Elephas maximus indicus: one gene and its partners. The protein of the gene in region 2 binds, or shares a complex with, the protein of the main gene of each other region. Links are inferred from orthologs where the notes say so. Each region holds a gene or a part of one and is shown on either strand. Other genes may lie near its edges.

What was found.
Region 1: CC2D2A (region 2) and TMEM17 share a complex: the UniProt entries of both Homo sapiens proteins name them as parts of the tectonic-like complex. The link is inferred for Elephas maximus indicus from reciprocal best matches to the Homo sapiens genes CC2D2A and TMEM17.
Region 3: CC2D2A (region 2) and MKS1 share a complex: the UniProt entries of both Homo sapiens proteins name them as parts of the tectonic-like complex. The link is inferred for Elephas maximus indicus from reciprocal best matches to the Homo sapiens genes CC2D2A and MKS1.

Annotation. Positions count from the first base shown.
Region 1 is NC_064835.1:74,242,815-74,253,893, forward strand, and holds the start of TMEM17 (transmembrane protein 17), read left to right. Parts: upstream 1-6,578; 5' UTR 6,579-6,922; coding exon 6,923-7,022; intron 7,023-10,364; coding exon 10,365-10,468; intron 10,469-10,622; coding exon 10,623-10,736; intron 10,737-11,079. UniProt on the Homo sapiens protein: Transmembrane component of the tectonic-like complex, a complex localized at the transition zone of primary cilia and acting as a barrier that prevents diffusion of transmembrane proteins between the cilia and plasma membranes.
Region 2 is NC_064823.1:150,139,157-150,149,838, reverse strand, and holds the start of CC2D2A (coiled-coil and C2 domain-containing protein 2A), read left to right. Parts: upstream 1-6,047; 5' UTR 6,048-6,086; intron 6,087-6,179; 5' UTR 6,180-6,210; intron 6,211-10,682. UniProt on the Homo sapiens protein: Component of the tectonic-like complex, a complex localized at the transition zone of primary cilia and acting as a barrier that prevents diffusion of transmembrane proteins between the cilia and plasma membranes.
Region 3 is NC_064837.1:35,806,971-35,817,235, reverse strand, and holds the start of MKS1 (tectonic-like complex member MKS1), read right to left. Parts: upstream 4,021-10,265; 5' UTR 3,692-4,020; coding exon 3,612-3,691; intron 3,181-3,611; coding exon 3,071-3,180; intron 1,970-3,070; coding exon 1,899-1,969; intron 1,296-1,898; coding exon 1,140-1,295; intron 41-1,139; coding exon 1-40. UniProt on the Homo sapiens protein: Component of the tectonic-like complex, a complex localized at the transition zone of primary cilia and acting as a barrier that prevents diffusion of transmembrane proteins between the cilia and plasma membranes.

The DNA of each region.
Region 1 (11,079 bases), on a different chromosome or scaffold from region 2:
TCAAGTCTCAAGAACTGGAGGTCAGATGATGATGGCCGGATGTAGGATCCAGAGCAAGGAAGTGAGCATTGCTGAATGCCCATATGTACTGGATGCAGGCCATAATCTCAAGAAAACTCCCTTTTCAACTGATCAGCTCCTCACACCAGATCACAAAATGGAGGATGATTACATTAGATCACAAAATGGAGGATGATTGCATCAGATCACAAAATGGAGGATGACTATATCATTATATAACTGCCAGATTACATCATTACGTAACTGCCAACCCACTGAAAATCCTGGCCCAGCAAAATCTTGACACAACCTTAACCATCACAATGATCTATCACTATTTACTGTGGGTAAGTAATGTTTTATTATAGTCAATAAAAGATAATAAATTAATTTTCTTCCAGAAAGGGGAACATAACTTATACTTTACACAGTATAATATAAAAAATATTATTAGTAGAGCAATACTATCACTACTAAAAATAGAACTTATTACATATTCAATAAAATGCTTCTAATCAGTATCACAATTCACTTCGCAGATCTGAGGTTTCCTTAAGCGGGTTTTCGCTTTCCTGATCTTTTTCCCTCGGCTTGACATTCCCAACTCCTATACAGTTGGACACACAGAGAGGCTGCTTGATATAGCAGATGAACGGTGTCATAGGCAGACACAAAGAAATGCCCAAGAACCAAATTCATGTGTATAATAAACAGCATTTTAAAAGGCAAATAATTTTCTAATAAAAATTCTCAATGGGTATGTCTTCGAGGACAAAATATCAAAGTCGTCCTTGAAATGTCACCAAACACAGTATGAAAAATTCTCTTCATAAGGTATTTTCTACATAATTCATAGCCTGACTCTTTCTTATAAACTTTTGTGAAGTGCTGTGAATGGAATATATTCTACCAGGAATTCAAAAAGCTTTTGATTATCTGTTAACAATTTGAGGACGATAAGATTATGTTTCAGGTAATTTCGAATAAGATTTTTTTATTGTGGATGCTGACGTAGAATTATATTTGAAGATATTCTACCCAAATATATAATTTATCTTTTAAAATTATCTAAATTCTGAGAAATATCTCATAGTTCATTTTAAGGCAATAAATTGAATAACACAGTCATTAAGTAATATTATATCTAAACTTCTTATTAGCATCAAGTGAAAGAATTTGTATCTTTATTATGCCAAAGAATAATTTAAATAACTCCCCAAGTTAATTTCTTGTCCTATAAGATAATAATATATCATTACAAGATAACTTCGCCTCTTGTCAAAGAAAAACAAACCATTGTGGCACCCGCACCATTTTTGTGAAAATAGATATATAAGAAAGTAAACCATAAATGTAGTTAAACCACAATGAAATACATTAAAAAATTATTGAAGAAGTTATTACTGTGAACCTCAACATTGGTCTAGAAAGTAAACAGTTTAACTTTATAGGGTTATATATTAATCTTATATTAATCTTGCTGGGAATGATTCCTATGATTCTAAGAATGGCAACTCCATACTTCTGTCTTTAGAGCCTGAGGTAGTAATGGATGCAAAAATGGGAGACCCAAATTGTATTAGCCTCTTAATTTTGCGAAAATGAATTCTCTCTCTGTTCTTCAATATTTCCCTAATGTGATTACCTATGCATACTGTGAGAATCAACTATCAAAATAATATTTGGAAAGCTTTTTGAGCCCTTTGGACCATTTGCCACAGCAGTAATGGCAGAATTCTTTCCACACTTTTTTCCTCTCAAAACTCTCTTCTCTAATGTGTTTCTGCACCATTACTGCCTCTTCCTCTCAATCTATCTTCTAAATAAGGCCTTTCTCTAAATATGAAAAGCATGCTCATTATAGGAAATTTGGATAATAAAAGTAGAAGGAAAATATCCATAATTCCATCAATTTCTTCCTCTAGGATTTTGATGAACTAATTACAGTCTGAACAATATGTTTCGTTTCTTCTTTCAATGCTAGGAAAAATCTTTAACGGAATTCACTGAAGCTTTTGATAAATTTGGTTATCATGCACGGACTATTTTAAGGATAATTTCATCCACTGCCTTTGCTAGGAAAGCAATACAGGTATTGCCTAGCAGGTAATACAGGTGAATTCAGAAAATTAAATGCTGGTATGATTTAACTCCACCATAGGTGTTTCTCCTTCATAAACATCATTTTAGTAGAGGTGTAATGATAGTTCTGGAGCTCTGGTGGGCAGTGGCTTAAGAGCTTGACTGTTAATCAAAGGTTGGTAGTTTGAATCCACAAGCCACTCCTTGGAAACCCTTTGGGCAGCTGTACTCTGCCCTATAGGGTCGCAAAGAGTCGGAATCAACTCAAAGGCAACTTTTTTTTTTTTAATGTGGTTTTCATTTATACAGAGCCTTATTTAATATTATAATCTATACATCAACTATTTCAGTAAAATTATCATTATTCCTACCTATGCTCATCCAAAAACTTCACCAAAAGAGTAAAAATACTACCTACAGACTAGAAAAAGTTTTTAGCTATGACATTTCCGATCGGCGTCTAATCTCTAAAATCTACATGATACTGCAAAAACTCAACTACAAAAAGACAAATAACCCAATTAAAAACGGGCAAAGGATATGAACAGGCACTTCACTAAAGAAGACATTCAGGTAGCTAACAGATACTTGAGGAAATGCTCATGATCATTAGCCATTAAAAAAAATTAGCCATTAGAGAAATTCAAATCAAAACTACAATGAGATCCCATCTCACTCCAACAAGGCTGGCATTAATCCAAAAAACACAAAATAATAAATGTTGGAGAGGTTGTGGAGAGACTGGAACACTTATACACTGCTGGTGGGAATGTAAAATGGTACAACCACTATGGAAACCGATTTGGCACTTCCTTAAAAAACTAGAAATGGAACTACCATATGATCCAGCAATCCCAGTCCTTGGAATAGATCCTAGAGAATTAAGAGCCTTTACACGGGCAGATATATGCACACCCATGTTCATTGCAGCACTGTATACAATAGCAAAAAGATGGAAGCAACCAAGGTGCCCATCAATGGACGAATGGACAAATAAACTATGGTATATTCACAGAATGGAAAACAAGGCATCAATAAAGAACAGTGATGAGTCTGTGAAACATTTCATAACGTGGAAGAATCTGAAAGGCATTATGCTGAGTGAAATTAGTTGCAAAAGGACAAATAATGTATGAAACCACTATTATAAGAACTCAAGAAATAGTTTAAACACAGAAGAAAATATTATTTGATTGTTACAAGAGTGGGGAAGGAGGGAGGGAGACGGGTATTCACTAATCAGATAGTAGACAAGAACTATTTTAGGTGAAGGAAAAGACAACACACAATACAGGAGAGGTCAGTACAACTGGACTAAACCAAAAGTTTCCTGAATGAACTGAATGCTTCGAAGGCCAGAGTGGCAGGGGCGGGGGTTTGGGGGCCATGGTTTCAGGGGATATCTAGGTCAATTGGCATAGTAAAATCTATTAAGAAAATATTCTGCATCCCACCTTGGGGAGTGGCCTCCGAGGTCTTAAACTCTAGCAAGCAGCCATCTAAGATGCATCAGTTGGTCTCAACTCACCTGGAGCTAAGGAAAATGAAGAACACCAAAGACACAAGGTAATTATGAGCCCAAGAGACAGAAAGGACCACATAAATCAGAGACTACATCAGACTGAGACCAGAAGAACTAGCTGGTGCCCAGCTACCATCGATGACTGCCCTGACAGGAACACAACAGAGAACTCCTGAGGGAGCAGGAGAGCAGTGGGATGCAGACCCCAAATTCTCATCAAAAGACCAGAATTAATGGTCTGACTGAGACTAGAAGGACCCGGAGGTAATGGTCCCCAGACCTTCTGTTAGCCCAAGACTGGAACCATTCCCAAAGCCAACTCTTCAAACAGGGATTGGACTGGACTATAAGACAGAAAACGATACTGGTGAGGAATGAGATTCTACACATAAGGCTATGTGGCCAGCTCCTGTCTGGAGGGGAGATGAGAAGGCAGAGGGTGACAGAAGCTGGCTGAATGGACACGGAAATAGAGGGTGGAGAGAAGGAGTGTGCTGTCTCTTTAGGGAGAGAGCAGCTAGGAGCATATACAAGGTGTATATAACTTTTTATACGAGAGGCTGAATTGATTTGTAAACTTTCACTTAAAGCACAATAAAGAAAAAAAAAAGATTATCATTATTCCTATTTTACAAAATAAGAACCTGAAATCAATCGCACAACTATTAGGTGATAGAGTGAGAATTTTAGGAGACTTGAACCCTGCTCTCTGCTTTCAAGGGCATTCTTTCCACCACAGCCCAACAGCTCGCTTTACTGCACCCTTTTTGAAAGTTTTGGCTCATGTATTAGCTAAAAAGTGATTCTTTGTTGCTAAATTTTTTTTAATTTCTGGTTGCTTTAATTCACTGTGTTTTAATATACCAATTCTCCACCGTATAGAGTAGGCTTTACAAAGGCTGGTTAACTGCAGAGGTTGCTCTAACTAGAACCGGGAAGATATAGGAGTGGTCATTAGGCCTTTTATTTCTATTTATCACTCAACAGGCATCTAGCCCCCACTCTAGGCCAGGCATTGTGCTAGTGTTGGGAGATACACAGATGAAAGCCCATTCCTGACCTCAAAGAGCTTGTGGACTCGCAAGAGAAGCAGGCACATGAACAGACAATGAACAGCGTGACCAGCACCTTGACTAAAGTAAGTAAAGAATGCTTTGGGAAACAGAGGAGGGCACCTAGGCCAGCTTCAGGGAGATCCTGGGAGTATCTTTGGAGGTGGTGAGGCCTCAGCTACATCTTAAAGAGAAACAGATTAGTGAGTTTTTCCCTGACAGCTGAGACCTCTGGCAGAATTAATCACTTCCTCATCAGCATTCCTTTATTAAAGCACTTACAGCAGTGTACGGTATTTATTTGTTTCCATCTCTCCCTCTCACTGGGTTGAGCTTCCTGAGAGGAGGAATTATATTCCTAATTAGTCTAGTACAATGCCTTGTAGGAAAGCAATACTAGTAGGAATGCAATAAACATCTGTTGAATTAAAATGAAATTCTAGCCACAAAGTTAGCATTTCCTCCCATACCTTCCTCTTGACATTTAAATAAACATATGTGGTTTTCCTTTTGTTTGTAAAAAATAATAATAATACCGTTCGCCACACAACCATTAGAAGAGCTAAAAGGAAATGGGTGGAAAATAACAAGTGTTGGTGAAGGATATGCAGCAACAGGAATGCTCATACATTGCTGGAGGCAGCAGAAATTGGTACAACCACTTTAGAAAACCGCTTGGGAGTGTTTACTAAAGCTGGGTCATATCCTATGACCCAGCAATTCCACTCCAACACAAATCCAAACATAACAGTCCCAAACTAGAAAAACATACGCAGATGTTCGTCAACAGTAAAATGTATAAACACATTGTGGTACGGCCACACACCACAAAGAGAACGAAACTACACATACTCAACCATGTAAATGAATTTTACAAAAAACAACGAACGTAGAAGGCCACGAGCCAGATCCGGAAAAAAAAAAAAAAGTAAAGCACCTAAAACCCACTGCAGTGGAGTCGATTCTCATAGTGACCCTAAAAGACAGTATAACTGCCCCACAGGGTTTCCAAATTTTTTTTTAATCTTTATGGAAGCGGACTGTCACATTTATCTCCAGGGGAGCAGAGGGCGGTTAGAACCGCCCACCTTTCAGTTAACAGCTGAGTGCTTTAACCTGCACCACCAGGGCTCCTCAAAAAAGTGCTTACTATAGGGTTCCTTTTATATAAACTATAAAAACAGGAAATTATTCTATGCTATTACAGATCGGGAAAGGTTAGTGGGGAGCTTAGTGACTGAAAAGGACAGCGCCGGTAAGGTTCTATTTGCTCCGGTTACTAAACACACGTGTAAATTCAGTTTGTGTCCTTTTCTGTATGTATAAAAAAAAAAATTATTTTTATTTTTTTATATACGTACATATTATATTTTAATTAAAAAACAAAAACTTAAAGTAATACATCTTATTTGAGAGAAAGCTGGAAAATACAGAAATATTTAAAGAAACTTTCTTGTTGAAATCACCCAGAATCCCCCATCCAGAAATAACATTGTTAACATTCTGTAATTTTTTCCAGTCTTTTTTTTTAACCAGTGTGCAAGCCCTCTCTCCTTCCCCCGCTCCCCATTTACACACAAATTTTGCTAAATTACATTCTTTCCTATTTCACTGTACTTTTTTTTTTCAAGTCAATCCATATCATCAAATATTCTTCGCAGCAATGTTATTTATAAGCTGCTGCAATGCGCTTCATCGAATGTATGTGCTCTAATACATTTAATCAGTTCCCCATTGTTGCATATTTTCGTAATTTATAATTTTTATTAAACAAATTATTTTTTTTAATCAGTGCACATTATTACATATATGTATACACATATGTATATACATATAAAATTCCTAGAAGAGGAGCTACTGGGTCACGAACATTCTCTAAGCTCTGCATCCGGTCTGTATTTCCCTTCAGGAAAATTGCACCGATTTACAGACGCTGGCAAGGTGTGAGGAATCCTTGCATCACAATTCAACCCCAGATCATTTATTCTTATTAGGCTGTTGTTTTTGAAGATGGTGGAGCTTAAACGGGACTAAAGAATCTGCCGTTCGGAACACCACCGCGGCGCTCTCCACACACCTCCTCCACCACGCGCAGGCTGCGACCCGCACACTCGGCTCGGCAGACTCGGCCCCTGCAGTGCCGCCCTGAGCGCGTGTCCAGGCCCCGCCACGTCTCGCGCCGCCCGGTTGCCATGGGGACCGCAGAGCGCCACGGCGCCCGCAGACTCGACTGTATCTGAGGGGCGAGGGGTACTGAGGCCCAAGCATGGAGCTGCCGGATCCGGTCCGCCAGCGGCTGGGAAACTTCAGCCGGACCGTGTTCAGCGACTCCAACCGGACCGGGCCGGAGTACACCGAGGGTCCGGGTGAGTGGCCGAAGCCCAGCGCAGAGGGTGTGGCCCGCCTAGGGCCTGACGCGGGTTTTTTGAGCAGCCAGATTTTGCCCGCACCTAAGATGGCGATTCCGCCTTCAGCTAGGTCACCGTGGTGCGCGGAGCGCTTTGGCTTCTTGGCTGGGCCGGGCCCCGACCGCGGTCCAGTCCAGGTCGGCTCACGCTGTGGCCCGGGAGGCGCGTCGCAAGCGCCGCAGCAGATTTGGCGCGGGCCTTTGTGTCGTATGAGGCGCAGCACTGCCTGCGAGGAGACTTAAAAAAAAAAAAATTAAAAAGCTGCCTTCCCCGTGTGCTGGGTCCCGCGCCTTTGCGAAGGCCGACGTTGATTTTCCTCTGCGCCTGCCCAGGTTTTCTGGGTAGGATCGGGGGAAACAACCCAAGTGGCGTTATCATTACCCCCGCCCTCCTGGGAAATACCTTTGCCTTTTCTCTCTTCCCCGCAGGACAAGCATCTTCCTCCACAAGTACGTTTTCCAGCAGAAGAGATGAAAGAAACATTTTTTAATGAGTCATTTTAAACCTTTGTTCACTTCAGAGTGGCAGCTGCCACAGTAGACGGCCTTCGACTTGTCCCCTTCCCTGCCTTCTCCTCCTCCACTATATATAGCTCTTTTCCTAAATCTGGTAACAAAGTCACGGTGCTGCATTCAACAGGATGACAAGTGATAACGCAGTTTCCTCCAAAACAGTTTCCTCCTAATCTTGATGACAGATACCATCCTGTCTGACCAAACCCATTCGGTTTTCATCACTGAACTCTGTTCAGAAATAGAAACTTTTTCTTCTGACTGGTTTTAAGGATTTTTTTTTTTTAAGGTGGCAAAGAAAAGCAGTTTCCATAGTTGCAGTTTGTCACATTGATCACTTGCCTGTTCCCCCAAATTTTAGGCCTCTTTATGATTTGGGAGGTACAGAGAAAGACATAATATGAAAAATTAGGTTTTCTCGTTTCTGATACTAAAGCTGAGGCTTAACAGACACTAAAACCTGACTATGCAAGGTAGTGATTTAAATCAGGGGTCAGCCAAGTTTTTCTGTGAAAGGCCGGGTAGTAAGTTTTAGGCTTTGCGGGCCATGTGGTTTCTGTGGCAACAACAGACAAGAAGTGAATGGGCATATATAAAACTTTATTTGTAGACACTGTGATTTGAATTTCTTATGGGTTTCATGCATCACAAAACATTATTCTTCAATTTTAAAAAAAAATACCACAATAAAAATTCTATTAAAAAGTTCATAATCATCAGACATATTCTAGCTCAGTGAACCCTTCTTGCTATGAGAGACCATGACTATTTCTTAAAATTTGTTAAATGACAGATTAAAAAATACTCAGTTGTAGAGAAAAAGGAAAAAAAACCCACCTTTTTAAAAGAATTATTTTACAACCTTTGTAAATTCCTGCATTTAGAGCAATTGATTTGAAAATATGTGTCCGCTCTTAGATTGTTAGAATTTAGTCAATTTTAGGATGCGTTTTGTAGGGTTCAATTTTTTCAATCAAATTCTTAATTTAGGACCTTTCTCCTTTACATAAAAGCAAAAGGTATTATGTAATCAGGCTTAGATAAATGGAACTCATTTTTCACTAATGGCTACACTGGTAATGTCCTTATGACAGCTTGTTTCCGTTAATTCGTTAATTCGTTCTTTCAGGTTAGGTGTGCTTGGTATTTACTGTTGTAAAGCAAGACAGTGGTTCTGTGAGGGCTTCAGTTTGGAGTAGGATATGATCTGTGCTCACGATGAGCCTGTGTATAGGTAGAAGAGGAGAAGGAAAGGGTACTACTTTTTATTGAGTGCCTACTAAGTGCCAGGCACAGGGCTAGGGTGAAATAATTTTTATTCTTTCTAATCCTCACAAGCACCCTGTAAGGTCATTTTACTGTACACCTGTTGCCGCTGAGTCAATTCTGACTCATAGCAACCCTATAGGACCTATGTCCCATACGGTTTCGAAGGAGCGCGTGGTGGATTCAAACTGCCAACCTTTTGGTTAGCAGCCAGGGTTTCCAAGCTCAGTTTAATGTTAACATTTTACAGATGAAGAAATTGAGGCTCAAAGAGGTTAAATAACATATCCCAGGTCTGGCATCCAAAGTCAGGGAATGGAGGTCCAGCTGAGTTGGACTCTGTCTTAGTCATCTAGTGCTGCTGTAACAGAAATACCACAAGTGGCAGGCTTTAACAAAGAGAAATTTATTTCCTCACAGTAGGCTAAAAGTCCAAATTTAAGGCGTCAGCTCCAGAGGAAGGCTTTCTGTCTCTATTGGCTCTGGAGGAAAGTCCTTGTCCTCAGTCTTCTCATGGTTGGTCGAGGAGCTTATCAGGCACAGGGACCCTGGGTCCAAAGGACGCATTGTGCTCCTGGTGCCGCTTTCTTGGTGGTAGGAGGTCCCCCACTCTCTGCTTGCTTCCCTGTTCTTTTATTTCTTGAGAGATAAAAGGTGGTATAGGCCACACCCCAGGGAAAATCCCTTTACCTTGGATCAGGGAGGTGACCTGAGTAAGGGTGGTGTTACAATCCCACCCTAATCCTCTGAACATAAAATCACAAAATGGAGGACAACTACACAGGGCTTAACCAAGTTCATACACACATTTTGTAGGGGACATAATTCAATCCATGACATACTCTCACACCGATGTTCTCTTCAGTGCACCGGGCTGTGCCTGGAACTGGGAGAGTGTGGTTCTTTGCTAACTCATCTCATACACAGGTTAGAGTGCTAAGTACCCAGAGGGGAAGGAGATTTCCGCTAGGGCAGAGGAACAGGATCAAGGAGGATTTATGGGAAGTGACATTGAATTGGCCATTAAAGGATGGGTGGGGTTAGAATATGATGGAAAGGGTAGTGAATCTGATTATAATTTGGGGAGAGTAGTTTTTGGAAGAGATTAGTTTATATGTGAGAGACTAGTTTTTATGTATTTTATGTCTTTATTTTATGGGCTGTTAACATAGAACTCTACAAAGGAGATAATGACAATTATTGGTATCTGTTCAAGAAGTCTCATATTGCTATTCCACATTTAATCTATACTAGCAGTGTGCAGAAGAGTCCACAGACTCTCATGGCAAAATTGTAAAGTAATTGAGAAATATGAAGCATACCCCCAATCGGCAATATTTGAACACCAGCTAAATGGTATTATGATGAATATTCCTTTCACTGCCAATGATTTATCAATAGGCTTAAAATACAGAGTTCCGTTGAGCCAATACTATAGTTGTTAATTCTAAGGAATGAAAGGATTTGCCGGGCATAGACCAGCATTTAGAGTTGGTTCCTTTTCTCTCTCTTTCTTCCGTAGATGATGAAATGGTCTCCAGTTTGGCACTGCAGATGTCGCTTTATTTTAACACTTACTTTTTCCCGCTTTGGTGGGTGAGCAGCGTTATGATGCTTCACATAAAGGTAAGTCTCCGCTTCAACACCGACGCTGAGGTCTCTTCCCATCCCTGGCATTGTTACACTGTCAATAAAATTAAAGTTCTAATTATTCTACTCTATCCTCGGTGAGTTTTACCATATGAAATTTTATAAATGTGTTTCTTTCTTTTTTTTTTAGTATCCAATCTTGCCTGATTACTACAAATTTATTGTGGTCACTATTATCATCCTAGTAACCTTAATTGAGGTCATCCGGTTGTATCTGGGCTACATGGGTAACCTACAGGAGAAGGTAGGGTCTTTTCTTTTCGTTCAGTGCTGCACATAATGCAATGGGGTTTTCATAGCCATGAAAAGTGATACAAGGTACATAGGCCTGAATTTAAGGCCAGCCTCCAACGTTTCTACTTTTGTCATTGTGATCAGCTTGCTTAATCTCTCAAGCCATGGTTTCCTCATATATAAAATGGGAAAAATAATATTTACCTCACAGGTGTGTTGGGATTAAATGAAATGATTTATATCAAGTACCTGAACATAGTAAGTGCTTAAGAACTGATAGTCTTTTCCCCTCCTCCTCCTTGTTTGTGAAAATACTTGGTCAATTAAACATGTTTGTTTTCTGAATAAGAAAA
Region 2 (10,682 bases):
ACGATCTTGGAAATTGCAGTAAATTTTCCTTGACAGAAACTCACTCAAGTCCAGCATGTAATCTCCCGCTGTCAAGAAGAGTAATGGCAAGCGGTATATGTTCTTCTACTATAAAAAGGGATGCTGCTTGCCTGGGAAGATGGAAGTTAATTTGCCAAAGCCACTTTTCAAGGCTCAGCTTGCTCACCTGAGGGAATCTCTTTTTTATCAGTCTTGTGAAAAATGAGTATTTTTAGGAGCTGCATCAATATTTAGAAGCCTTTCTTGACCAATTCCTTCTAACCTCATCTTTCCCGTGAAGGAGGAATAAGAGCATATGAAATTGGATAAATTGGGGCTTGAATCCTAGCTGTGCTAGCTATTAGCTAAGTGGCCTTGAGCAAGTCGCTTCCCATATATAAACCTCAATAACCTCACCCGTAAAATAGGAGCAATAAAGGTGTCTGCCTCTTAAGCTTTTTTATGAGGATCAGATAAAATAGGCATTTTTGGGGAGGGGGTGGTGTTGTGGTTAAGAGCTACGGCTGCTAGCCAAAGCGTTGGCGGTTTGACTCTGCCGGGCACTCCTTGGAAACCATATGGGGCAGCTCTACTCTGTCTTATAGAGTCACCGTGAGTTGGAATCAACCTGACGGCAACGGGTTTGGTTTTGGTTTGTTATTGGTGTAGCACTCTCACCCTTTGTCCTCTTCCTTTGGGGTTATCAACTGACTCTCTGCTTGGAAAGTTTAGAATAAAAAAGGGAGGTCTTCTTCCCTTTCTCTGAGGAATAATTTTTCTTCAATGAGCACTTACTTCTCTGTGACAAAAATGAAGAATGCCACCTGTGGCTGGGAGGTTCAGCCTTTCTCATCCTGAAGTTTGTATTATGAATCCCACTTAACTGGTTTTCCAATATAAGCTTTATTCATTTTTTTAAAAAGTGATTTATTGGCCTCTCCCTACTGGTTTTAGTTTCCATTGAGTCGGCTCCTACTCATGGCAACCTTACGTATAACAGAACAAAGTGTTGTCCATCCTCATGATCACTGGTTTGTCTGAGTCCATTGTTCCTGCTATTGTGTCAGCCCATCTCACTGAGGGTTTCCCTCTTTTCCCTGAATCTCTACTTTACCAAACATGATGTCCTTTTCTAGCGACTGGTCTTTCCTGATGACATGTCTAAAGTAAGCTAATTGAAGTCTTGCTGTCCTTTCTTCTAAGGAACATTCTGGTTGTTTTCCACCACCCATCTGTCAGTTTGTCATACTATGGTGGCTTGCATGTTGCTATTGTGGTGGAAGCTGTGCCACAATTATTTCAAATACCAACAGGGCCACCTATGATGGACAGGTTTCAAGAGAGCTTCCAGATTAGGACAGACAAAGAAGAAAGTCCTGGTGATCTAATTCTGAAAAATTAGCCAGTGAAAACCCTAAGGCCCCTCCCTCAGAGATCCCAACACTTATCAAGTCCACATTTTTATTAGCCCACCTAGTAGTTTACCAGTAAAAGCTGGTTGAACTAAAGGAAATGAACTTTAATATATGTATGAGTCAAGGTAGGCTAGGTTATGTTATGGTAAAAAATTGACCCTAGAATGTCATGACTACACACACACACGCACACACAGTTATTTTATTATTTATGCCAAGTGTCCAGTGCAGGTTTGTGAGCAGGCTCTATTCCCCTGGATCCCTCGAGGAGCCGGTCTTATGAAAGCACCAATATTTTGTGATTATCTCAGCTCGTCACCTGATTTTAGGGTCCTTTCAGAGAAGGAGTGGGGTCTGAAAGCTTTCACCATCCATCACTACTTCCAACGCAATTCCACTTCTATTCACAGCCATTTGACAGCACAAGTAATATGGTTCTGTCCTAACTAGAAGGAAGGCTGGGGAGTGTATCAGAGCATGTCAACTATATGTCCCTGTCATGGGGCTTGTGAACTTACTATTGTCATATAGTACAAGGTTTGGAGCCATGGAACTCTTGACTGACCTTCATGATCAATGAAATGTATATTGTGTGAATTCAGACTGATAGAAAAGGGGAAATTGGAGACCATGTACAAGGAAAGTCTGAGCAAGTGGGACTACAGGCTCCCCTACCTGCTTTCTCACCAGAAATACTCAACTTCCTCATTCATAAAATGAAGATAGTATTTCCTGTCTCATAAGGTGCTGTGAAGATTAAATAAGATAATATATAGAGAGTGCCAAGTAAAGTGCCTGGTCTTTGATACATGTTTAAAAAAATACTATTTTCTCTTCTCTTGTTGAGGATAAGATAACACAACTCCTTTTATATCTACTATATACTATATATGCCTAAAGATACAGTAAATTTCCCCTAAATTATTACTCAGAACCAAGGGAGAGGCACTGTTATGGACTGAATTGTGTCCCCCCAAAATATGTGTATCAATTTTTCTAGGCCATGATTCTCAGTATTGTGTGATTGTCTACCATTTTGTCATCTGATGTGATTTTCCTATGTGTTGCAAATTCTACCTCTATGACGTTAATGAGGTGAGATAGGTGGCAGTTATGTTAATGAGGCAGGGTTCAATCTACAAGGTTGGTTTTTGTCTTGAGCCAATCTCTATTGAGATATAAAAGAGAGAAGTGAGCAGAGAGACCTCATACCACCAAAAAAGTAGCACCAGGAATTAAGTGCATCCTTTGGATCGGGGGTTCCTGCACAGAGAAGCTCCTAGTCCAGGGGAAGATTGATGAGAAGGATCTTCCTCCAGGGCCAACAGAGAGAAGGCCTTCCCCTGGAGCTGACGCCCTGAATTTGGACTTCTAGCCTGCTAGACTGGGAGAAAATAAATTTCTCTTTGTTAAAGCCATCCACTTGTGGTATTTCTGTTATGGTAGCACTAGGTAACTAAGACAGGCACTATTTTCAGGCGTTTATAAAGTCTTTCATATTACAGATGTCATTCTCATTACTTTATTTGGAACAAAACACATTACACTTGTCAAGATACTTTAGCTTGAAATGTATGCATTTAACACTGATTTTCATAGTCATGAAGGTCATCAGACAGAATTGAGTTTTTAAAAAGAGAAAAAGGAATTTAACACAGATTTAGTAATCATTTCTGGGTGGGCATGACCTTCCTGATGGAAGAAGTGAGTATCATTTTAGACAATCCTTTTAAAGATTACTTTAAAATCAAATTTAAACAAAGAGAAATGAAGCCCCAGTACATGCTACAACATGTGAACCTTGAAAACATTATGCTAAGTAAAAGAAGCCAGGCGTAAATAACCACATGTGTGATTCCATTCATACGTCCAAAATAGGCAAATCTACCGAGACAGAAATGGTTGCCTAGAGATAGGGGTTTAGGGGGATTGGGAAGTAACTGCTAGTGGTTATGGGGTTTCTTTGGAGGATGATTAAAATGTTCTAAAATTGATTGTGGTCACTGTTGCACAACTCCGTGAATATACTAAAAGCCATTGAATGGGTGAATTGTTTGATATGTGGTTTATAGCTCAACAAACCCACACAGAGGCTCCATGGGAGAAAGACCTGGAGATCTGCTTCTGTAAAAATTACAGTGAAAGAAAAAAAAAATCCTATGGGGCAGTTCTACTCTGTCACATGGGGTCACTATGAGTCAGAATCGACAGCACTCAACAACAAAAACAAGGTTGTTACAAAGAAACATAATTGCCATGTAAATATTACACATGAAGAAAGAAAGAAAAACTATGCAAATAGGTATTGATGGTTTGGATAAAATTTACAGCGACAGCATCATGTATCCAAAGAGTTTTGAATCTCAAACAAATTAGATAGGAACGGTGTCAATGTGCTTAGACGGGAATGAAGTATTTCTTAGGCAACTCAAAAGTTAATCTAGAGAGGGCCAAAAACTAACATCAAAGAGGCGCATGGTGAATTAAATAAAGTTGTTTCATGAAATGCAATAGTAGGAAAAAAATCAATAATCCTAAATCGATATATAATTTTATATAATATTGTTTCTAAAATATATATGTGTATAGCAATTAATAACATAAATGTTGTAAGTAGACATTGGACCATGTCATCAGCATCCCTAAAACTTTTTAAATCAGATTGACCACAAATTTTGAGGGAATCTTCACATTAGAAAAATGAAAATTCAATTGAGAGTGGTAGCAATTAAAATCCTAAAGTTACGTAGAATGAGGGGAAGCCCTAACTGTAGGGAAGAACCCTGGGAGTCTTATTGGCCACATGGTTTACCCCAGAACATGAGATTCAGGCCACACCCAGTTCAAGCCTGACCCGTAGGGAACATTTCTTGAAGGCAGATAGTGCTTTATTACAAAGTCTAGGAGAGGACACAACATAAATTGACATCTTTAAAGCCAGTTGTTCAAAAATTATCAGATGTATGAATACCATTCATAAGATATTAAACTGCTCAATGGTGAAATTGTTCAAATGAAGACTGGACGACCAAAAATCTGCCAGGAATTTGGCTGTTCCATGTTTTCAAACTGTGGGCTGCAACACGTTGCTGTTGTCGTTGTGTGCTGTAGAGCTGATTCCGACTCATAGCAACCCTATAGGACAGAGCAGAGCTGCCCATGGGGTTTCCAAGGCTATAATCTACAGGAGCAGATTACCAGGTCTTTTCTCCTGCAGAGTGGCTGGTGCGTTTGAACAGCCGACATTTTGGTTAGCAGCTGAGCACTTAAACGTTGCACCACTAGGGCTTCTTGCAACAGATTAGTAAGATATGAAATCAATTTAGAGGGTACACAACCGGCATCGGTCTATATCACATATTTTATATTATATGTTATATATTGTTGTTGTTATTGTTAGCTGCTGTAGACTTGGTGACCCTGGGCACAGATGGAATGAAATGCTGTCCAGTGCTGTCCCACCTCCATGATCGGTTGTGGATCGGACCATTGTGATCCATAGAATTTTCATTGGCTTATTTTCAGAGGTGAATTGCCAGATCTTTCTTCCTAGTCCATCTTAGTCTGGAAGCTCTCCTGAAATATGTTCAGCACCAGAGCAACATGCAAGCCTCCACTGACAGGGGGGTGATGGCTGCATATGAAGTGTGTTGGCCAGGAACAGAATCCAGGCCTTCCACATGGGTGGCAAGAATTCTACCACTTTACCACCAATGTCTTCATATGTTATATATTAGATTAGAACCCAATAGAACAGAAAAAAAAAAAAAAGAATAAAATTGAAACTATCAGTACATAGTATCTGTAGTAAGGGTAAGTAATGTTTCCTGAAAACTATGTTTTAAATGTATATGTATGTGTGTGCGCACACACTCGGTTGTGGTATAAAACTTACTTCTTAAAATGATTTGCAGTTTAAGAAAGCTTGAAACACAATGCTGCAGAAGGAGCCATGCAGTGGATGGTAGGCTGGGTGTGGCGTCCCCTAAGGTCCCATCCAATTCTTGGTTGATGATCCCAGAATTCTCAGCACTAAAGAAGAAAAAAACGTTAGACTCTTCCAAGACTGAGGAGGTGGTGTGCCAGTCAGTATTACTGAAACACACACACTTGAGAAACAAGTCCCCCACAATTCAGTAATTGTAAACATATTGCATGACAGTGTTCTCAGCTCCAGGGAGAAGTCACAGGAGAAGCAAAAGCCAGAAATTCCCCTGTTGTTGGAATGGAGAGAATTTCAGTGCTTTAATTCACAAATCCAATGAGTAAGTGGTCAGCCTATTTAAATTTCTGGGAGGAGCCTGGCAGCGCAGTGGTTAAGAGCTTGGCTGCTAACTGAAACCCACCAGTGTTCAGTGGTTTGAACCCACCAGCCGAAACACGTGGCATACGCGTCTGTAAAGATTGACAGCCTTGGAAACCCTATGGGGCAGTTCTACTCTGTCCTATGGGGTTACTATAAGTCAGAAACCAACTCAAAACAGCAACAAGTTTTTTTTTTTTTTTTTAATTTAAATTTTTAGACAGAAAAAGTTTATAATCAGTAAACTTCTTACAGGCCCTCTTTTGTGTTAATAAAATTCTCAGTAGTAGGTCTCTTACCACTGATAATATTTTCAACAAGTCGTTGGTGCCAACTCTGGGACTACAGAGCAGAATACAACTGGAGGCGTAAGTACGATCTAACCGCAGAACACTGGAACAGCTCTTCAAAATTCCAAAACAAGTTTTAAAATACAAGTTCGGCTTTTTTTCCTCTTAAAGGATGAAGTGACGCTCCTTGGCAAGAAGCACCGTAAGTAGTATGTGATTATAAACATATTTCGCTTCTTTGGAATAGAATGACTGAAACTAAAACAATCTGGTAAACTTGTTAAATCTGCAAGTGTTCAACTCACAGAGGCAAAGGTTTACCTTAGAAATAAATTAATATTTATTGAGCACGAACTGTATGCCAGGCATAGTGGTAAGTGCTGTGGTTTAGTTGAAAAATCTCTCTGATATATTCCCACTATGTAAGTCTCAAGGATGGACAATTTAATCATGGAAATGGGTTGTACCCAAATAACAAAAACAGAGGGCTGATCATGGTAAATGTTTCATCTTTCCTGGGTCAAAAACTTTTTCGGATGTGAAGAAAGCCAGATTCCCTAACCAGAAAAATGCACATATACCCACACATTGTTACATTTGCTTACAATTTAATTCTACGTGTGGCTTTCGGGTTCTGAACGTTGGCTTTAAGAGAAGTTCACTTAAAATCCTTTGGAAGAGGAAAGATTGAATTCGCAATTGCTGTTAACTGCCATCAGTCAGCTCAGACTCAGGGCGACCTTTTGTATAACAGAACAAAACGTTGCCTATTCTGGTGCCATCTTCCTGATTATTGGTATGTTTGGATCCATTGTTGTGGCTATTGGTGCCAATCCATGTCTTTGAGGATTTCCTTCATTTTCACTGGCCCTCTACTTTACCAAACATAATTCCTTGTCTAGTGACTGGTCTTTTCTGATGTGGCTAAAGTAAGAATTCACAGTAGAAGCCCTCTTATCCCACCTGTTCTTCATCAACTGGCTGGCTTATCCAGAATTCTCCATTCTCTTTTTAAAATATACCAAATGATGCCCAAGGCAGCTGTATACTTCCAGCTCATAGGCTGCTTTTCATATGAACTTCTACTCCTGACATCTGAGTGTTACACTGACCAGGGGTCAGTACTGTTTGCCCCCAACCCCAATTTACACTTGCAATTATGTAAACTGCTTAGTAGAATATAAACTAAGGTAAAACAAGTATGAGCTCTATGGTAGGCAGAATGATGGCCCCTAAAGGTGCCCCACATCCTAATCCCCAGAACTGGTGAATATGTTAGGTTACATGGCAAAGAGAAATTAAGGTTGCAGATGGCGTTAAGGTTCCTAATCAGGAGACGGAAGCCCTGGTGGCGCAGTGGTTAAGAGCTATATCTGCTAACCAAAAGGTCAACAGTTTGAATCCACCATGTGCTCCTTGGAAACCCTATGGGGCAATTCTACTCTGTCCTATAGGGTCACTATGAGTTGGAATCGACTTGACAGCAACAAGTTTGGTTTTAATCATGAGACATTAAAATAAAAAGATTGTCCTGGATTATCCAGGTGGGCCCAATATAATCACCAGAAAAAGAAAAACTAGTTCTGTAGAGTCAATTCTTACTAATAGCAACCCTACATGAGTCAGAGTAGAATGGTACTTCATAAGGCTTTCATGGCTGTGAGCTTTTGGGAGCAGATTGCCAGGACTTTCCTCTGAGATGCCCCTGGGTAGGTTCATATCTCCAATCTTTTGGTTAGTAGCCAAGGGCTTAGCTCTTTGCACCACCCAGAAACTCCATGTGTAAACACAAGGCTCCTTAAAAGTGGAAAAGGCTGGCAGAAGTTAGGAACCAGAAAGACAGCAGCATGAGAAGGACTCCACCTGACTTTGTGGGCTTTGAAGATGGGAAAATGGAGTCACATGCCAAGGAAAGCTGACAGCAAGGAAGTGGGTGCTCCCCTAGAGCCTCCAGAAAGGAACATGGCCCTGCTGACATCTTGATTTCAGCCATGGGACCTGTGCTGGATTTCTAACCTATGGAAGTGTAACATCATATATTTGAGTTCCTTTAAAATCACTAAATTTGTGGTGATTTGTCACAAGAGCGATAGAAAACTCATACAAGCCCCAAGATATTTTTTTTCTGTAAGAACTTTGCCAAGACTTGATAACAAATTGAGTCAATGAATTGTTATTGTTTACTGCCATGTTTGTCAAGTGAGCAAGACCCACTTTAAAATACGGGGGGTGGGGGAGTGGGTGTTCATAACCCTAAAACGGTGCCTTCACTAAAACTGCTTCACCAGCATCTAGAATCTGTCATCACCCGTCTGTCAGTTTTTCATACTGTGGTAGTTTGTACGTTGCTATGATGGTAAAAACCATACCAATAGTATTTCAAGTACCTATGGTGAATGGGTTTCCGTGAGCTTCCAGACTAAGACAGACTAGAAATAAAGGCCGGGAGATCTACTTTTGAAAATTAGCCAATGAACACATTTTGGATCACAGCAGAATATTGTCTGATATAGTGCTGGAAGATAAGCCCCTAGCTTGAAAGACATACAAAATACACAGTGGCCACAACAAGGGATTCACACATACCAGTGAAGATGGCACAGAATTGGACAGCATTTCATTCGGTTGAAGATGGGATCACCATGAGTCAGAGCTGACCTGAAGGCAGCTAAAAACAACCACATGTCAAGTGGTCAAGAACCACTTTAAAATACTGGGGATAAGGAGGGTGGAGGGATCTTATAAAATTTAAGAAGATGCCCTTACTAAATTTTTTTTACTAGCATCTAGAGACTAAAGGAACAAGACTGGAAATCAACCACGGTGCATAACAGGTGCAATTTATCCAAGAAGCCAAAGTCTGCTGTATTTAGAGGACCAAAAAAGGTCTTAGCCCTACGCAACAAGACTGATGAATAAATGCATATATTTACATGTTTTAGATAAATAATAAGTAATTAGGGGACAGATAGATTTCTTGTGTGATTTCTTATACTAGCAGACTTTATTTGCTTAAACAACCACCTATCCATCTTGATCACATTGGCTAACAGGACTTTCTTCTACCATGTTTTCTCATCTGGACAACTCAAACGTGAGGAAACCATGGTATCTTCATAGGATCATACAATCCAAACTATCAATGGGCTGAGCTGAATTGGCGTGTGTCTCTTTGGGGACACTTTATGATTCTATCGATTTAACAGTTACTTCTGTGTTTTCTGTGTTACCTGCACTGTGCCTGGGAATTTGCTAAGCACCAAGAGGTCCAACAAAAAATATGTGTATGTATATATATAATATATATATAGTTGTTGTTGTTGTTGTTATGCGCCATCAAGTTGGCTCCAACTCTGTGTTACCTGCACTGTGCCTGGGAATTTGCTAAGCACCAAGAGGTCCAACAAAAAATATGTGTATGTATATATATAATATATATATAGTTGTTGTTGTTGTTGTTATGCGCCATCAAGTTGGCTCCAACTCTAGCAACCCTGTAGGACAGAGTAGAACTGCCCCATAGGGTATCTAAGGAGCAGCTGGTGAATATGAACTGCCGACTTTTTTGTTACAGCCAAGCTCTTAACCAATACACCACTAGGGCTACATATATAGAGAGAGAGAAAGACAGAGACAGAGAGAGGCAGAGAAGTACAAAATAGTAATATGCCTTCTTAAATTATACACACCTGTGGTTTTGATAAAAATTAAAATTAGATAACTTTGAAAAGAGAACACAATTTTGGAATAGAACAGCTCTAAGTTTGAAACCCTGGTGGCATAGTGGTTAAGTGCTACAGCTACTACTCAAAAGGTTGGCAGTTTGAATCCACCAGGCGCTCCTTGGAAACTCTACGGGGGCAGTTCTACTCTGTCCTATAGGGTCGCTATGAGTTGGAATCGACTCAACAGCAATGGGTTTTAAGTTTGAAATTTGGTTATCCCCTTTACTAGCTGTGTGAGCATGAGTAAGTCACATAATGTTCCCGAGCCTTTGATTATTTTCATCTGTAAACTAGAGAATAATAGTATCTACTTCACAGGCATTTGACTGTGTGGATCATAACAAATTTTGGAGGACATTGCGAAGAATGGGAATTCTAGAATACTTAATTGTGCTCATGAGCAACCTGTACACGGATCAAGAGGCAGTCCTTCCAACAGAACAAGGAGATGCTGAGTGGTTTAAATTCAGGAAAGGTGTGCAACAGGGTTGTATCCCTTCACCATACCTATTCAATCTATATGCTGAGCAAATAATTTGAGAAATTAGACTATATGAAGAAAAACGGGGCATCAAGACTGGAGGAAGATTCATTAACAACCTGCATTATGCAGATGACACAACCTTGCTTGCTGAAAGTGAAGAGGACTTGAAACACTTACTGATAAAAATCAAAGACCACAGCCTTCAGTGTGGATTGTTCCTCAACATAAAGAAAACAAAAATCCTTACAACTGGACCAGAAAGCAACATCATGATAAACAGAGAAAAGAGTGAAGTTGTCAAGGGTTTCATTTTACTTGGGTCCACAATCAACACTCATGGAAGCAGCAGTCAAGAACTCAAAGGATGCATTGCATTGGGCGAATCTGCTGCAAAAGACCTCTTTAAAGTGTTGAAAAGCCAAGATGTCACCTTGAGGACTATGCCATGATGTTTTCTATTGGATC
Region 3 (10,265 bases), on a different chromosome or scaffold from region 2:
ATGGTACCTCGTTGGTTGCGGTGGTCATTTTCTGACAGTGCTAAGGAAAGAGAGCAGCCCTGTGTGACCCATCTGATCAGGGCCACATGGAACCAAGAGACTTCCAGAGGGGAAGTCTTCCTTCTGAAGCCCCATCTGTGACTGAACTAAAAAAAAACCAAAAAACAGGTATAGCCACCTCAAAATTATATATGCTAACGGAGGGAAGCAGTAGCCCAAACAACCCAAAGAAAATTCCCCTAGGCCTATGATTTTGGTAGCATATTATCCTGCAGAAATGAGTCTATACAGGCTAATATTAAAATCAGCCTAACATTCCCTGAGAACATACCAATAAAAAGTTGGGTGAGTTTGCCTAGTTAAAGTTTAACTAGGTGGTTTAAAGATGCCAGATGGGATAAAAGCATTTTGTGGAAAATCCTCATACGGTTAATAGAGCACTAACTGCATTTTCACCTGCTTTTCCAGCACAAACAACTCAAATTCTACATGCTACCAACACATGAAAGCATGCCCATCTTTCAAAAGCAATCATTTAACACCTGCTCTTTGCAGAGATCTACAAGGTCATAGAGAAAAATAAAAAATGCAGGCTCTACCCTCCACCAGCTTAAACTTTCCCTAAGAAGACAGAACACATCATGCAGTGACTGGAGAAAATATAAAAAAACCCACAAGGGTATGTTAACATAGGTGCATTGGAGACCTAAGGCCCCTCCCATGGCTGTACTGAATTCCTCTCCAAACCCATATGGTCAGAGATTTGGCTGAATACCCTGATGCATTTTATCTAGGTTGTTCCAGACTCCACTCACCTGGCTCATTTCATGATTCAAGCAGGAATTCAAGCCCAGTGGCTGCTTCTTCAGTTGGCAGTCTACAAGGCTATCACTAAAGACACTGGTCCCTGCTAGCTCCCTGGCCCTCCAGAAGGCAAACAAGGCAGCAGCAGCCACACCACCTGCAGACTGTGCCCTCTCTACTCCAGTGTGGCTGCCAGCAGCATGCAGGAGCTCTAGGATGGCTACCTGTCTCCCCTTAACAGGCTTCTGATTTAGCACACAGAACCCACTGAGGCCAGAAAGCTGGGGGACGCAAAGTGGAAGAAGGGAGCTATGGGACCTCGGAATGAACGATACCTCCTCCAAGTTGGTGTATCTATCGGAGTCGGTATAGGTAAAGATTCGCCGGTTCTTCCTGCCACCTGAATCCTCCAGCTTCAGGATCTCTTGACGGTACTGGTGATCCAAAGGGCTCTGACAGGCTGCTTCATTTTGGTACAGATCTACCTCAAACTGAGGTCACCACAAGGAAACAAAAATCTACTGAGGATACTTGAAACTTTTGTTCCTGTAACTTTTTAATCAAATTATTTCTATAGAACTGATGCTATTTGACATGTTTTCAGAACCTAAGCTAATGGTCGGCAGGGGATTCAAAAAAAGGAACCAGGGTGACATTCTAATGCAACTCTTCTGCTACAGATGGCATGTGGCCCAGAGATGATACGTGCTGTACCCAAGATCATAAAACTTAGTGGCAGTCAGAATTTGACCCAATAAACACAACAAGGGACAGTATACACTGTTACAACCTTTCCCAAAATCAGTTTGGCAGTATGTATCAATAATCTTCAAAGTAATATTTTAATCCAGTTATTCCACTTCCAAGAATCTTATCTGAGAAAATAATCAGAGAATCAGATGAGGCTTAATACAAAGATCTCACTGAAACACTGTTTAAAATTAGTGATGTGGGTCTATCAGCAAAGCCCTGACCTGGGGAGCCGTGTTGGCAGCAGCCTCTCTTTCAAAGATGGGGATCTCTTTCCCTGTTGCCAGCCAGGTGGAGATGGGCCAGATGGAAGTACACTGAGCTGACACGTGACACTGGCTCACCTGGCTAAAGAGCTTCTCCTGCCACCCGATCACAACCTCCTCCTCTTCATCTTCATCTGGGCGATGACCACCTTCAAACACAACAGAGTGAGTCAACTGCTTGAGCCAAACCAAGGCCACTGTGGTTGGTTATAACCAAAGCCTCTGCTCTTATATTTACGACAAATCCAGCTGGAGTTCAGTGATTTATTAAGTACTCACTCTGACAGAAACTAGTGAGGCTGAATATGTGCTCTGGTTAGTATGTGCAGAAACCAGGATTAGAACCCAAGAAATCTTAACCACTACTCTAATTTGAATAAAAGGTGGTCCTGCCTTCCAAGTATTATTAAATCTAAGTCAGTGTCAGGGACTGAAATTTAAATATAAGCTGAACAGCCCTTCCTCAATCTCAACAGCCTGCATTTGCTAGAAAAGAATCCTGAAGCGATGTATTTAGAAACACAAACTCTGTAACCTTAAGAGGCTGAGGCGGGAAGAAGAAAGTCAAATAAATGATTTTTTTTTTAAAGAGCAAAACCTAATCCACTCCTGGCTGAGTATGTCTTTTTCAGAGACACAGTTCACAACCCACCAGCCCATGCTCTTGCTCAGGAATATTTCTCAACAGAAGCACAACAAAAGCACAGCGACTAGTGACTTAACACAAGCACTCTCCTCTGTCCTCACTCTTCTGGCTTCCCAGACAAGAAAAACCGCAAGAGCACAGTTGATGTTAATATGTACATTTGTCTAGCAGTAAAGTTGAGGACTATTTTAAAGTCCTCAACTTTAAAATAGTTTATGCATGTGTTTAGAGTTAGGACATATTTTCTTTTAGAAAAAAAAATTGTTTCAAATGGTATTTAGGCTGCCAGGCAAATCTATAACATATCAAAAATAAGGTTATTTGTTATTTCACTACAGATGACCACAATTCACATCAGTAACTTGATGGCAGGAATCACAGTGTAGTGCCTAAAATTGCCAGGCTTCAAACACTGGCTCTGACATTAACCAGCTGCAGGACCTTCACAAGAAACCCAACCTCTCTGTGCCTTAGCTTCCTCATCTGTAAAAAGGCTGCTGTCAAAAAGTAGACCTGGGTCTACTCTGTCGTAAGAGGTAAGTCTACCACCCCAGGCCCTTCCCTCAGGTCCCCAGGAGGGCCTGCATCACCACATAACACCCACTGGCGGTTGGTTGGGGCCTAAAAGTGGCCAAGTCTATGAGGTCCTTCCCGGGCTGGGTGGCAGGCTGGTAATGGAGAAAGTTGCCTGATGTAATTCTTTGCAGGTGGACTCTGTCAGGAAAAGAGACGTCCAAAATACGCGTTACAAGGCACACAACTAGAAGATAAACACAGAGCAAGTATGGAAAAAGCAAAACACTGAGCAGGGTGGGGCTGCCAAGGTGTGTTAGGTGCAGAAGACTGAAGGGAGGTGAGTGAGACACGAGGCTCTCAGGGGAAAGGTGAAAACAAGAGGGCGTATTGAGGACTCAGGGCTCCGAGGAATTTGGGTAGTACAGAGACTGAAGAGGACTGCGTGAGTCTGGAAACTGTGCTGGAAGGCTCGGGGTGGAGAAGGGTTGAGGTAGTGCGATGAGATGTGGGAAGATGAAGATGTGGCGAGGATTGTAAGCGGAAGTGGGGGCCTCAGAACATTGAGTTCAGGCTCGAATTATCTGAGGGGATAAAAGCACGGAGCCCAGGTGCCGGGGCAGTGCTACTACCGGAGGCGCAAGTTGCGCACGGGGTCCCGGGAGCGGTACACGGCCTCGCCGGTGTCAGAGCTCCAGACGGCCTCCGCCATGACGGCTGTGCTGCGCCGCGACTGCGCCGGAAAGCGCGCCGCCCCTAGTTCCCCTGGCAACCGAGACGCTGAGTCCCGAAGGTCGCCGAGCCGCTGCGTGCGCAACTCACTGTTCCCGCCGCGGCCTGCAGCAACGCAACGCCTGTGGTCAGCATGCCCGTTTCGTATAGATGAAGAATGGTCATGGAGACGAGGCTCGGGTGATCTCAGCCACTACTCTTTCCCCTGTACCGCACTGCCTTCCACGGAGCACACGAAAGCTGTGACCTGAAAATCGGTTACTGTGACTCAAAGAGTGCACCCCCTCTTCCCAAAAGAGCTAGGGCAGGTGGTGGCATTTACTTAGACACGAAAAGATATTCTTGGAAGAAAAAACAAGTGCCAAGAGACTTATTAGTCGCTGTGTTAGTATTCACTGAGATAGAGAAAGAGAAAACAAGGAAGTTAATAGTCAGGAAAGAAAAGATGTTATTGAATTGGTTTGTCCCTGTGAATGTTAAGTCACTTTAGAAACTGCACTGGCCTCCTGAAAGGCCAACAAAATGTCCTTCAGGAGTCATGCTTCATTGGCCTAGCAAAGGAGGCAGGGCACACCATGGCCTCAAGTCTGGCTCCCTGGCACCTTGGGGATGTCAATATTTATCACTGTTTGACATCTGCCACTCCACCAACAGAATAAGTAATTGTCCCCAGAACTCAGAAACCTCATGCCACTGGGAACTCTGGGTGGCATTTCTGCTCTTGTGTAACATCAAGGACTCACCATAATAATAAACCGGCCAAACCAAACTCATTGCCATCGACTTGATTCCGACTCATAGCAACCCTATAGAACAGAGTTAGAAATGCCCATAGGGTTTCCAAGGCTGTAATCTTTAAGGAAGCAGATTGCCACATCTTTCTCTGATGGTGCGGCTGATGGCTTCAAACCTTTTAGTTAACAGCCTAACCACTGCACCACCAGGGCTCCTTAAAATTACAGTCATTGAAAACCCTATGGAGTGAAGTTCTACTCTGAAACACATGCAATTGCCATGAGTGGAATGAACTCAGCAGGGGGTGAGGGTCTAATATAGCTTGGGCACTTGGTTTGCATTGTTCCTATGCAAGGTGTCCTAGAAACCCCTCAAGTAGGTATTGTTATTCCCACTTAACAGGTGAAGTTCGTGAAGGCTTGCTAAGATTGAACTACTAGTGAATGGTGAAGGAGCTGAGATTCTAGCTCAGGTTTGTCCGGATTCTGAGGCCTGAACGCCATCCATGTGCCTCACAGCCTTTCACCTACTGGTTCATTCCATAAGAGCACACGGTTTCCAACCTGGGAATAATTATTTCAACAGATGAAACCATGGAGACAGAATACTAGCTCCTAAAAAAAAAGGTCACTTTGATTTTTCCTTTTAAAGTTGTGAATGGATAACACTTATCACCCCAATAACAAACGATAAGGTAGAACTGCATCAACAGTTTAGTGTTATAAACAAACTTACAGCAAAGTCAATCTGACACAATTATATGCAAAATAGTTACCGTACCACCGAAGCCAAAAAAACCCATTGCCATCAAGTAAATTCCTATTCACAGCCACCCTGTAGAGCAGAGTAGAACTGTCCCGTAGGGTTTCTAAGGCTGTAATCTTTACAGAAGCAGACTACCACATCTTTCCCCTGCAGAGCAGCTGGTAAGTTCAAACTGCCAACCTTTCATTTAGCAGCCAAGTGCTTAACCACTTCACCACCAGGGCTCCTTACTATACCACCAAACCAAAAACCAAACCCAGTGCCATCGAGTTGATTCCAACTCATAGCGATGCTATAGGACAGAGTAGAACTACCCCATAGAGTTTCCAAGGAGCGCCTGGCGGATTTGAACTGCTGACCCTTTGGTTAGCAGCCGTAACACTTAACCACTATGCCACCAGGGTTTCCTACTATACCACAGGGTATGGAAATATACGCTATTTGTATGAGTGATCATAACTAGTATTATTTTTATACAGGTAAACTTAGTTTTTACGTTTTCTCCTTGTTTACTAAATCCATTGCAGTTGAGTTGATTCCAACTCATAGCGACCTTATAGGACAGAGTAGTACTGCCTGTTAGGGTTTCCAAGGAGCTGCTGGTGGATTTGAACTGCCAACCTTTTGGTTAGCAGCCAAACACTTAACCACTGTGCCACCAGGGGCTTTGTTTACTGGCATTATTTGGAAAGAGTTCATGACTTTTATCAGATCGCTGGAAGGAGTTTTTACCCTGATGTGAAGAATGGCCTGATTACCACTATCCAAACCCATTGCCGTCAAGTCAATTCTGGCTCGTAGCGACCCTGTAGGACAGAGTAGAACTGCCCCATAGAGTTTCCAAGGAGTGCCTGGTAGATTCAAACTGCCAACCTTTTGGTTAGCAGCCATAGCACTTAACCGCTATGCCACCAGGGTTTCCGACTACCACTATAATTATACAAAATTTACTAAAAGTAAAATCTCAATAATTTTCAAGAGAAAAGGCAATCAGCATATGCCAGCTTCAAGAGGACCCAGATATCAGACTAATCAGACAAGGGTTTTAACTATCATAGCCATGCTCTACTGTGGGCACTAAGGACAAACACTCTTGAAAAAAAATAGAAAGAAATTCTCAGCAGAGAAATAGAAACTATAAGAAAAGAAACAAATGGAATTTTATAACTGAAATAAAAATTCACTGGATGGGCTCAATAGCACAGTGGAGGTGGCACAGGAAAGTCAGTAAACACAAAGATAGGTAAATAGAAAATATACAATCTAAGGAGCAGAGAGAGAAAAAAGATTGAAAAAAATTAAGAGTTTCAGAAACCTGTGAGAAAATATCAAAAGTCTTAACATTCGTGACATTGGACTCCTAGAAGGACAGGAGAAAGAGTGTGGCAGAAAAAATATTTGAGGAAATAATAGCTGAAATTCTACCAAATTTGATAAAAGACGTAAATTTACAGATTCAAGAATGTCAATGAATCCTGAATAGGAGAAATTCAAAGAAATTGTTTAGGGAATATAGTGAAAGAAAAAGGGCTGGAATAGCCAAAACAATTTTGAAAAGAAAAATGAAGTTGGAGAGCTCACACAACCTGAACTGAAACTTACTATCAAGCTATAGTAATGAACACAGTATGGCATTGGTGAAAAGACAGAAACATAAATCAATGAAACAGACTGGAGAGTCAAGAAATAGACCCACACAAATAGAGTCAATAAGTTTTGACAAAGGTGCAAGGGAAATTCAATGCATAAAGTATAGCCTTTTCAACAAATGATGCTGGATGATGGACTTAAATGTCCATAGGCAAAAAAATGAAACTCAACTCATACTTCACACCTTATACAAAAGATAACTTGAAATGTACCTGAATGTAAAGCATAAAACATCTAGAGGAAAACATAGGAGAAAATCTTTGTGCAATTAGATCAGACAAAGAATTTTTAGATATGACAACAAAAGCGGGATCCATAAAAGAAAAACAAGAAAAATTGGAATTCATCAAAATTGAAAAAGTTGCTCTGCAAAAGACATTGTTAAGACAATGAAAAGACAAGCCACACAGTGGGAGAAAATATTTGCACTGGAAGAAAATACTTGCCTTATCACATATCTGTCCAAGACTTGTATCCAGAATATAAAAAGAAGTCTGAAAACTCAACAGTAAGAAAACAAACAACCCAATTAGAAAATGGGCAAAAGACCTGAACAGAGACTTTGCAAAGACATATGAATGTCAAATAAGTACATGAAAAGATACTCAGCATAATTAATCATCAGGAAATGCAAATTAAAACCACAAAGAGATGGTGGTTGGTGGTTGGAACCCATCCAGCTCTTCCGTGGGAGAAAGACCTGACAATCTGCTCCCGTAAAGATTACAGCCTAGAAAACCCTATGGGACAGTTCTACTGTGTCACACGAGGTCGCTATGAGTTGAAATTGACTCAATAGCACCTAACAACAACAACAATCAAGCTTATGAGTCCCTGGGTGGCACAAACAGTTAAGTACTTAATTACTAGCTGAAAAGTTGGCGGTTTGAATCCACCCAGACAGGGCTGGCAATCTGCTTTCGGGATAGCAGTCTTGAAAACTCTATGGAGCAGTTTTACTCTCATAGGATCACCATGAGTCAGAATCAGCTCAACAGTAACTAACATCAGTAACATCTAGAATATATAAAGAGCTCTTACAAATCAACAATAAAAGGGCAAATAAAAATATCAATAATCGTAAAAGTAAAAAAATAATGGCAAAGGATTTGAATAGACATTCCTCCAAAGAAGATATACAAGTGGCCCATAAGCACACAGAAATATGCTCAATATCATTAGTCATCATAGAAATACAAATCAAAACCACAATGAGATACCATTTTGCATCCATTAGAATGGTTATAATCAAAAGACAGATAGTAACTATATTCGTGAAAATGTGGAGAAATTGGAACCCTCGAGCTTTGCTGATGGGAACGTAAAATGGTGAAGCCACTTTGGAGAACAGTCTGGCAGTTCCTCAAAAGGTTAAAAAGAGTTACCCAGCAATTCCACTTTCAGGTATTTACCTAAGAGAATTGAAAAACATTCTGGAGGTCCCTGCTGGAGAGTCCCATAACCTGGGTCTGTGATGGATTAATGAATCCAAACAAAACTCGTATGCAAAAGTTTATAGCAGTATTATTCATAATAGCCAAAAAGTAGAAACAACCCAACTGTCTATCAACTGATGAAAGGTTAAGCAAAATGTGGTATATCCATACAATGGAATATTATTCCATCATGAAAAGAATAAAGTACTAATATATGATGTAACATGGTAGAACCTTGAAAACATGCTAAGTGAAAGAAGCCAGATGTGAAAGGCCACATATTGTATGATTCCGTTTACATGAAATTTCACACTAGTAAAATCCACAGAGACGGAAAATAGATAAGTGCTTGCCAGGGAGTGAGAGGGAGAGGAAATGAAGAGCGACGGCTAATAGGTACAAAGTTTCTTTTTTTTTTTTTTTTTGGCAAGGTTTCTTTTTGAGGTGAGAAAAATGTTTTGGAATTAGATCATGATAATTGTTGTACATGGAGCCCTGGTGGTGCAGTGGTTAAGCAGTCTAGCTGTTAACTGAAAGGTCGGCAGTTCAAACCCATCAGCTGCTCTATAGGAGAAAGATGTAGCAGTCTGCTTCTTTAAAGATTACAGCCTTGGAAACCCTATGGAGCAGTTCTACTCTATCTTGTAAGCAATAAGTTGGAATTGACTCAACGGCAATGGGTTTCCTTTTTTTTTTTTTTGGTTTAATATTTGCACAATTTTGTGACTATATTAAAACCCACCAAATTGTATACTTAAAATTTTTAAAAAACAACCTGCCTCCACAAAACTGAGCCTCTACCCAACAGAAAATAGAGATGCAGTGGTTAAGTGCTCAGATGCTAACCAAAAGGTTGGCAGTTGGAATGCACCAGTGGCTCCACGGGAGAAAAGACCTGGTGATCTGCTCCTGTAAGATTTACAGCCTAGGAAATGCTATGGGGCAGTTCTACTCTGCCCTGTAGGGTCACTATGAGTGAGAATCAACTTGACATCATACAACAGCAATAGCAGCGCACACAGTATGCAAAGATTCATTGGACTTCAAGGAGAAGGAGGAAAGAAGAACATGAAGTTATAAGAGGAGACATGGAGAAGGTCCCAGCTGGAGAGGCCCATAGCCTGTTTCCAAGATGGGCTAATGGATCTGAGAAGGCGGTTAAGACAAGAGGGACCGGGGAGTGATTGATCCCATTTCCCGGGGAGGCAGCAGCAAGACCTGCAGTAGGAACAGATGTGAAAAGACCATGGAAGGCTTGGCAGTGATGCCTGTGTCCTTGTACAGCAAGGAAGTGGCAGAAAGACTTCTATGCTTCATAGCAGTCAGGCAGAAATCAGAGAAGCTACTAGCCCTGAAGGGACAGGCTGACAAGGCAGAAGCCCTCCCCGGGGCTGAGGTATAGCTGGGTTATGAGCGCTCTATAAAGACCTTTGTGAACAGAAAACACTGAGTACCCCTTGCTTTTCACTGGGATGGGGGCAGGAGGACTCCAAATTTTCACACCCCAATGGAAACAGAAATGAAGTCAAGTTAAAGAAAAATCCGACTCGACGGCACTGGGTTTTTTTTTTGGATAAAAATACAGAACAGAATTTCAAATTCTCATGCTATTCAGACTTTCTGGAGCCATTTAGGCTGGATGAACCCTCAAAACTACTGCCTTGAGATAATCTTTAAACTTTAAACCAAAAATACCCCCTGAAGTCTTCTTTAAACAAAACGGTAGTTTAGCTTAACTAGTAAAGAATGTCTGCCTTGAGCATTATGCTTTTTCAAGGTCTATTTACACGGAATCAAATTTACCACAGCAACTCAAACGATTAGATAGCAGAGAATTTATGTTAATGGGGGAAGAACAACTCAGAAAAGGAGGGCAAGAATGGTTGTACAACTTGAAGAATGTAATCAATGTCACTGAATTGTACATGTAGGAATTATTAAATGGTGTGTGTTCTGTGGTATATATTC